Canis lupus familiaris: one gene and its partner. The protein of the gene in region 1 interacts with the protein of each later gene in a pairwise test. Links are inferred from orthologs where the notes say so. Each region holds a gene or a part of one and is shown on either strand. Other genes may lie near its edges.

Region 1 (4,328 bases):
GGAACTTGGGGAGAGGGCGGGCGGAGGGTGGGCGAAGCACTGAGGGAGGGAGGTGAAGAAGGCAAAAGTCAAGCAGTGCGAGGGAGAGACGGCGGGGGCAGGTGAGGGCGGGGGGGCGGGGATGGGGCCGGGAAAGGGGCCGAGGACGCGGGGGGCAGAGGGTAGGGACAGCAGGGGAGGGGAGGGGGAGGGGCGGGGGGGCCGGGCCCTGCACTCACCGCGGCCCATGGCTCGGCCGGCCCCGCCCTGCGCAGTCGCGGCCCAGAGGGTGAGTGGGAGGGAGTGGGAGGAGGGTCGGCGGAGCCCGAGCCTCCGGTACGGCCCCGGCCGGTCCTAGCAGGAAGCGCCGCCGCCGCCGCCGCGGATCACCGAGCGGCCTCCCGCGCATGCGCCATGGGGGCCAGGGGCAGCCCTGGGGATTCCGTTCCCAGAAGGCACCGCGCAGGCTGCCGCCGCCGCCGCCGCCGTCGCTGCCGCCGCCGCCGCCGCAGCCGCCGCCGCCGCCGCCGCCGCCGCTGCCCGGACGGGAGAGGGGCGGGGCCGGGCCCCCGCCCAGCGGACAACGACGAGCCAACAGGAGGGGCCGCAGTGCGCATGCGGGAGCGCGCCTACCCCTCCCCCACAACCCCCCATTAATCCCCAAGAGAACAAACACCCCACGCGGCCCCCCCGCCCTCCGCGGAAGGATCTGAGCCTCTTCCCAGGCCACCGGCGGCCAATCCCAGCCCTCCCCGGGGAGGGGCCCCTTCCAAAGCCACAGTCTGTCGGGGGAGCCAGGAATGCCGGGTCCGGGAGGGGCCGGCCCCAAAAGATGAAAGTCGCGACTTGCCCTGCCCCGCCCCAAAGGCTTCCCGGGTAGTGTGCTGGGACTTGACCCGCCTCCCCAGGTCAACATGTCACAACAGGACCTCCGCCTGTCAAGTCACATGACCTCTGCCTGTCACTGACAACCTGGTCATGTCTTTGGGCCAGGAGAGACCATCTGGTCCAACCCACCCCCACCCCCATCTACTGAAGGGGAAATGGAGGTCTGGAGCAACGGAGCAGGCCCGGCCGAGGACCTGTCACCGTCACACCACCACCTAAACCTCCTTGCAGCCACAACCGGCCTTGTGACAGATTCTACTTAACTCTGGCTGCCCCCGTGAGGGTATGACAGTGAATACAACCGGCCGCCACATGGCATCTTTTTTCTCTCTAATGGCACAAGAAAAACGTTTGCATTTTAAGCGATGCTTTTCACTTTTGTTTAAGCTGCCTCCAAGTTCATAGTGCTCTCGTTTTACCTTCACAACTCGTCATCCTTTATTTACAAACAAGAACGGTTGTGGCACAGATATTAGGGGGCAAGTAAAGGGGCAGGTGAGGCCAGACTCTGGGCTCCTGACAACCCGGTGCAAGGCGGCTGCGCGCTCAAGTGCACCCAACGTCCCAGGCAACGAGGCTCTAAGGTCGCCCGAGCACCGAGGCGGCAGGCGGCGGGTGCACGGCTCCTCACGCAGGAGTCACAGGACCTGCGCGGCTGGTACAGCGAAAAGGGCGGGTCTTGATCCTTGGTGGAGGCACCAGAGTACGGGGGGGGGGGGGGGGGAGGCTGAGAATCGCGTCCACCGGGCCAAGTCCTGAATCCTGGCATGCTGAGCGCTCATCAGAAACTTCACAAAGATAAAAGTTAGGGGTGCTTTTCGGCGAGGAGCTGAAAATGACCATCAAAAGTACTCAAGTTCCTCGGCCCCTTCTGGGGGAATTAGGGAGCTAAACGGGATCTTTCTATGCGCCTACTCGAGGAGACGTTAGGCGGTCCTGTGGCTGCATGCAAACTTTCAAAAGAGATTGGCTTAGAAGACCTCGCGCCCACTAACTAGGAGGGGACCGAGCAAAATGGGAGCCCCCCATGCAGACGGCGAGGCGGGGGCTAACGCCAGGTGGGCGGAATAAGGGCGCCGAGGAGGACGAGCCGCAGCGCGGCTTCGCAGGCAGCCTGAGGGCGGCCACGGTTGGGAGCCGTTGGGGCCGTTGGGAGCCCGGCGCTGGCGCCCCGCCCTCTCCTCTCCCCCACCCCCCCGCACCGCCCACCACCCTCGTCGGCCCCTGCGCGTGCGCGCCGAGACACCGGTTGCCAAACATTGCATCATCCCCGCCCCCCTCTCCTCCCCTCCTCCCCTCCCCCCCAGCTCTCCCCTCCGCGCGCGCGCATGACTCACTCGCCTCCTCCGCGGAGCCTCGTGACCCAAAGCCACTTCCGGGTCCGACACCACCTCTACCCCCGGGCCGGCGGGAGCGAAGGGGGCGGCGCCGCGGGGGCTGCTGAGTGGCGGGCGCGGGGGGCGGGGCGGGGCCAGCGCCGGCGTGCCGCGCCCTGATTGGCAGGCTTGCGGGCCCGCCCCCGAGGGGAGGGCAGGGCCTCCTTAAAACATCCGCGCTCGGGCCTCCGAGGTCAGAGGCTTGAGTGTAAGGCACAGAGCGGATCATGTTGAAGATGAGCGGGTGGCAGCCACAGAGCCACAGTCAGAGCCGGAACCTGAGGAGAGAGGCGAGTACCGATCCCACCTGCTCTTTACCCTCTAGTCCTCGGGGATGCTGGTTGTCCCTTCGAAGTTGGGGCATCAGCTGCTCAGGATGCGGCCCCACCCGTTCCCCGACGAAGTTAGTGACAGTTCGAGGGAGGGACGGGGAGCATCCTTTATCCGGGAGTGGTGCTTACAGACCTCTCTTCCCTCGGACGGGAGCGGCGCCCCACCCTGCCCGGAGCGCGGGCCCGGCTCTGGGCCGTCGGGCTAAGGGGTCCGGATGCCCTCGGGAGACTCCCTGTCTTCCGCTGCTGCCCTAGGCCGCCTCCTTGGTCCTGTCCGGTGGGAGGCGGGGCGGCAGGACACTCCCCCACGCCGAGACGCCTGGATGGCTCTGGCTCACGCCCTTGCCGCCACTTTCCCACCAGCGGCCCTGCCCCTACCCCACCCCCAATCCTGTCTCAGCCCAGCGTCTCAGGGCCAGAGTGGCCACGTCGGTGGATGGAGCTCCTGGGTCCTGCACAGGACAGCCATTCCACACCCTAACGGAGAAGAGAACCTTAAGGAGACAGACTCCAGACTTTGGGAGGAGGAGGGATGCCAATGGCTAGGGAGCAGAGATGGGTTTTCCCATTCCCCCAGAGGTCCCGGGGGCCTCCTGCACAAGAGAGCATTCTGGATCCCTTAAGTGTGGGAAGCCATTTGGGGTCTCCCCAGTGTAGGGTCCTTCCGCAGGGATTTGTCCCTGCTGCTTTCCCCGCGTCCTGCCTCCCAGCTAATTTCTGTGTAACCGTTGCATCAGGCCAGCCCCCTGTTTGGCTCTGCAGCCCTCTGGCCTGGGGCCCCACTGCTGATGAAAGCGGCATCCCACACGCTGGAAGGCAAGGAGGGTCCCCCAGGGAGGACAGCCCTGAAGAGAAACACTCTGGGAGATATTGCATCTCCAGTCCCCAGGGCTGGGCAGCTGCTGCTCTGCCTCTGGGCTTCCTCCTCCCTTCCCTATGAGACACTGGGGAGAATTCTTTCATTCTTCACAAATTACTTATTACACACCTGCTATGTGCCACACATTTTAGGCCCAGGATGCATCTACGAACAAGGAAAAGACCTGTTCTCACAGAGCTTACATTTCGTGGGAAAAGGTGCACAGCGAACAAATATAGAAGTGCCAAGGAGAAAACCAAAGCATGGAAGGGTAGTGAATGCCCAGGATGTTTACCTTGAGTCATTAGAGATTCTCTCACAGAGGTGACATTTAAATGAAACTTCTGAAAAGAGGCAAAGTAGTAAGCTGTGCAGATTTGTGAAAGGAAGAGCTTTCCAGGAGAAAGAACAGTGAGAACAGAGGTCCTAAGGTGGGAGTGTGCAGAGTTTAGGGAGCAGGCCAGCTGGACGGACTAGAGGGAGAGTGGTCAATGAGAAATCCAGGGCAGGGAAGGAGATTGTGTGGGGCCTTCTAAGCCATATTAAGGACCTTTAGCCTTTAATATTCATGAACTTTAGTCCTTGAAGAGTTTTGAACAGACTGACAGGACCTGACTAGAGTTTTAAAAGGCTCACTCCAGGGATCCCTGGGTGGCGCAGTGGTTTGGCGCCTGCCTTTGGCCCAGGGCGCGATCCTGGAGACCTGGGATCGAATCCCACATAGGGCTCCCGGTTCATGGAGCCTGCTTCTCCCTCTGCCTGTGTCTCTGCCTCTCTCTCTCTCTCTCTGTGACTATCATAAAAAAAAATAATAATAATTAAAATAAAATAAAATAAAATAAAATAAAATAAAATAAAATAAAAGGCTCACTCCAGCTGCGTGTTGTGAACAGA
Region 2 (2,656 bases), on another chromosome or scaffold:
TTCAGTCTCTGCTCATGCCTCAGGGGTCAGAGGCATGTGGGTCTCCACTCCTGGGCCTGTACCTTGCCCTGGCATCCTGCACTCCACTCCTAGGTACCCAGGCCCCCTTCCCATGGAGCCCCCAGCTCCTCTGAGCGATGTTCCCCACACCCCAGTAAAGAGAGAGACTGTGGTTTATTCTCTTTAATATCCACTTATTGACATCTTGTCACAATAATAATAAAAATAATATCTGTTTTAAAAATCCACAGGGAAGGAGCTCATCCTGTTCTCAGCCCTCGCGTATGGGAACTCCCGGCCTCCGTGTCCCAGTCGCCCTGGCGTCTAGCCCTGATTAGTGCCTGAAGTGGGGGGAGGTTAGGGACCCATTCTCACCCAGAATAGACACAGTGTCCTTTGGCTGGTGTTGGGGGGGAGGGGGGGTGGCGGGGGTTGGCCAAGAGTTAGGAAGTCAGGAGATAAATGGGGGCTTCAAAAGACCAGGGGTTCAGGGGCCAGTGAGGTGGAGGATGGGGGTGTCAGAGGGGAAGAGGATTATGTATGTGGCACGGAAACAGGTGAACAAGTCCAAGCAGCCTGCAGAGGGCAGGCAGGTCAGGGCAGGGGGTGGGGGGAGCTGCAGTGGGGGCGCCCCCAGGGCGCCTCAGTTAACCTGGAAGAGTCCGAAGTAGGTAAGGAAGGGGGCGGCCTTGAGATGGGCCCAGGGGAGGGTGCGGATCCGCAGGGAGGACCCGGGCCGGAGGGGCAACAGCCCAGACACTTGGCAGAGGCGGAGCTGGGGGCCCAGGCTGCTGGCGGCTGTGGCGGAGAACTCTTCCAGGCAGCGCAGGGCCAGGGCGTCATCCACCAGCAAGTCCAGCTTCAGGTAGACAGCCTTCCCCTCATCAAAGTGCACCTGGGGGCCGGCAGGAGGCCGCAGAGTCCGGGGTCCTTGGTGACCCCAGGATCCCATCGGGCCCCGACCCTAGGCTCCCCACCCCAACCTGCCCCCTGAACCAAACCCTCTCCGTCTCCCTCAACCTGGGGCCCCCGCTTCCTGCCCTACCGTGGAGCCAGGTGGGGCTTACCTGGCAGTACAGGTAGTAGAGCCCAGCCCGCGTGACTATAAATTCCCCGCTCTGGCGGTCATAGCGCAGTGGGTTGGAGCTGTTGATTTTGGCCTCTTCCCAGCCACTCACCGTCCCATCCACACCTGAATGCAGGGGTTCAGAGATTGGGGACAGTCCCTTTGCAGGGCCTTCTCATGATCCCCAGGGACCTCTGCAAATTCATAGGCCTGGGGGGGCCCTCTTACCCCAGGAGATGAAGAGACGGCCCTGCGGCCCAGGGAGGAGCCACAACCCCTGCAGCATCAGAGGAAATCATGGGAAGAAATGCCACACTTGTGTGACCAGAGCAGTAAGGAGCAAGTTGTCCCCAGCCACCTCTGGGGGGGGAAGAGCCGGGTGGAAGGAGAAGCGCGGGGGCTTCGATATTTTGTGTCTCTACCGTGTGCCTCTCTCACTCTGAGAATGCCCACATACTGTACCTGAGTCATACAGTACCTAATTAAAACTAGGGCAGCCCGGGTGGCTCAGTGGTTTAGCGCCGCCTTCAGCTCAGGACCTGATCCTGGAGACCTGGGATCGTGTCCCGCATCAGGCTCCCCACAGGGAGCCTGCTTCTCCCTCTGCCTCTCTCTCTCTCTGTGTCTCTCATGAATAAATAAATAAAATCTATAAATAAATAAATAAATAAATAAATAAATAAATAAATAATAAAACTAATCACAAGGGGGATGCCTGGGTGGCTCAGTGGGATAGGCATCTTGACTTCAGCTCAGGTAATGATCTCAGGGTCCTGGGATCAAGCCCCACATCGGGCTCCCTGGTCGGTGGGGAGCCTGCTTCTCCCTCTACCTCTGCCTGATGCCCCCCACCCACTCATGCTCTCTCTGTCAATTAAATAAAATCATTGAAAAAAAATTAAAAATGAAAGTAATCAAATGGTACACAAATGTCCATCAAACAATGGCTGGATAAGGAAAAGTCTGGCGTAGCCAAGCAATGGGGTATTATTCAGCCACCGAAAAGAACTGCTACCATGTGGATGAACCGAAAACATTATGCTAAGTGAAAGAAGCCAGTCCCAAAGGACCACATATTATGAGGTTTCTATGAAATTTCCGGGTAAATACATAGAGACAGTAAGTAGATTGGTGGGTGCTTAGAGCTCTGAGTGGTGGTGGGTGGGAGACATAGGGGTGCTGGCTACAGGGTACAGGGCTTCTTTCCATGGTGATGCCTGCATAACTGTGTGAACAGACTAAGAGTAAATAACCCACCGAATTGGCACACTTGAAGCGGGTGAATTGTATGGTATGTGAAGCATAGCTCAATAAAACTGTACCGCAAAACAAATTAAAAAAGGCTAGAGCTAATTCTCTTTCCACCTCTGCCTGCTGCTCTCCCTGCTTGTGTTCTTTCTCTGTGTCAAATAAATAAAATCTTTATTTTCTTTTTTTAAACCGATAGCAGGATGTCAGGTGGCTTCCTGGGTCCTCCCCAGGGCCACCCTGGTCTCTCTCTCCAATCTACCACGACACAGGCCAACTCCCAGGGCTCCTGCCATCCTCTTGTTCCCTCTGTGCAAGGGCTCAGCTGACAGGCCTGCCCTG

What was found. The genes of interacting proteins can lie anywhere in the genome.
Region 2: the proteins of DDIT3 (region 1) and TNFSF12 interact in binary tests that used the Homo sapiens proteins (3 or more experiments, as listed by UniProt). The two-hybrid records come from large-scale screens. The link is inferred for Canis lupus familiaris from reciprocal best matches to the Homo sapiens genes DDIT3 and TNFSF12.

Annotation. Positions count from the first base shown.
Region 1 is NC_049231.1:1,963,388-1,967,715, reverse strand, and holds the start of DDIT3 (DNA damage-inducible transcript 3 protein), read left to right. Parts: upstream 1-1,423; 5' UTR 1,424-1,525; intron 1,526-2,204; exon of another isoform or gene 2,205-2,287; intron 2,288-2,383; exon of another isoform or gene 2,384-2,533; intron 2,534-4,328. UniProt on the Homo sapiens protein: Multifunctional transcription factor in endoplasmic reticulum (ER) stress response. Plays an essential role in the response to a wide variety of cell stresses and induces cell cycle arrest and apoptosis in response to ER stress.
Region 2 is NC_049226.1:32,687,811-32,690,466, reverse strand, and holds the end of TNFSF12 (tumor necrosis factor ligand superfamily member 12), read right to left. Parts: intron 1,193-2,656; coding exon 1,068-1,192; intron 896-1,067; coding exon 644-895; downstream 1-643. UniProt on the Homo sapiens protein: Binds to FN14 and possibly also to TNRFSF12/APO3. Weak inducer of apoptosis in some cell types. Mediates NF-kappa-B activation. Promotes angiogenesis and the proliferation of endothelial cells. Also involved in induction of inflammatory cytokines.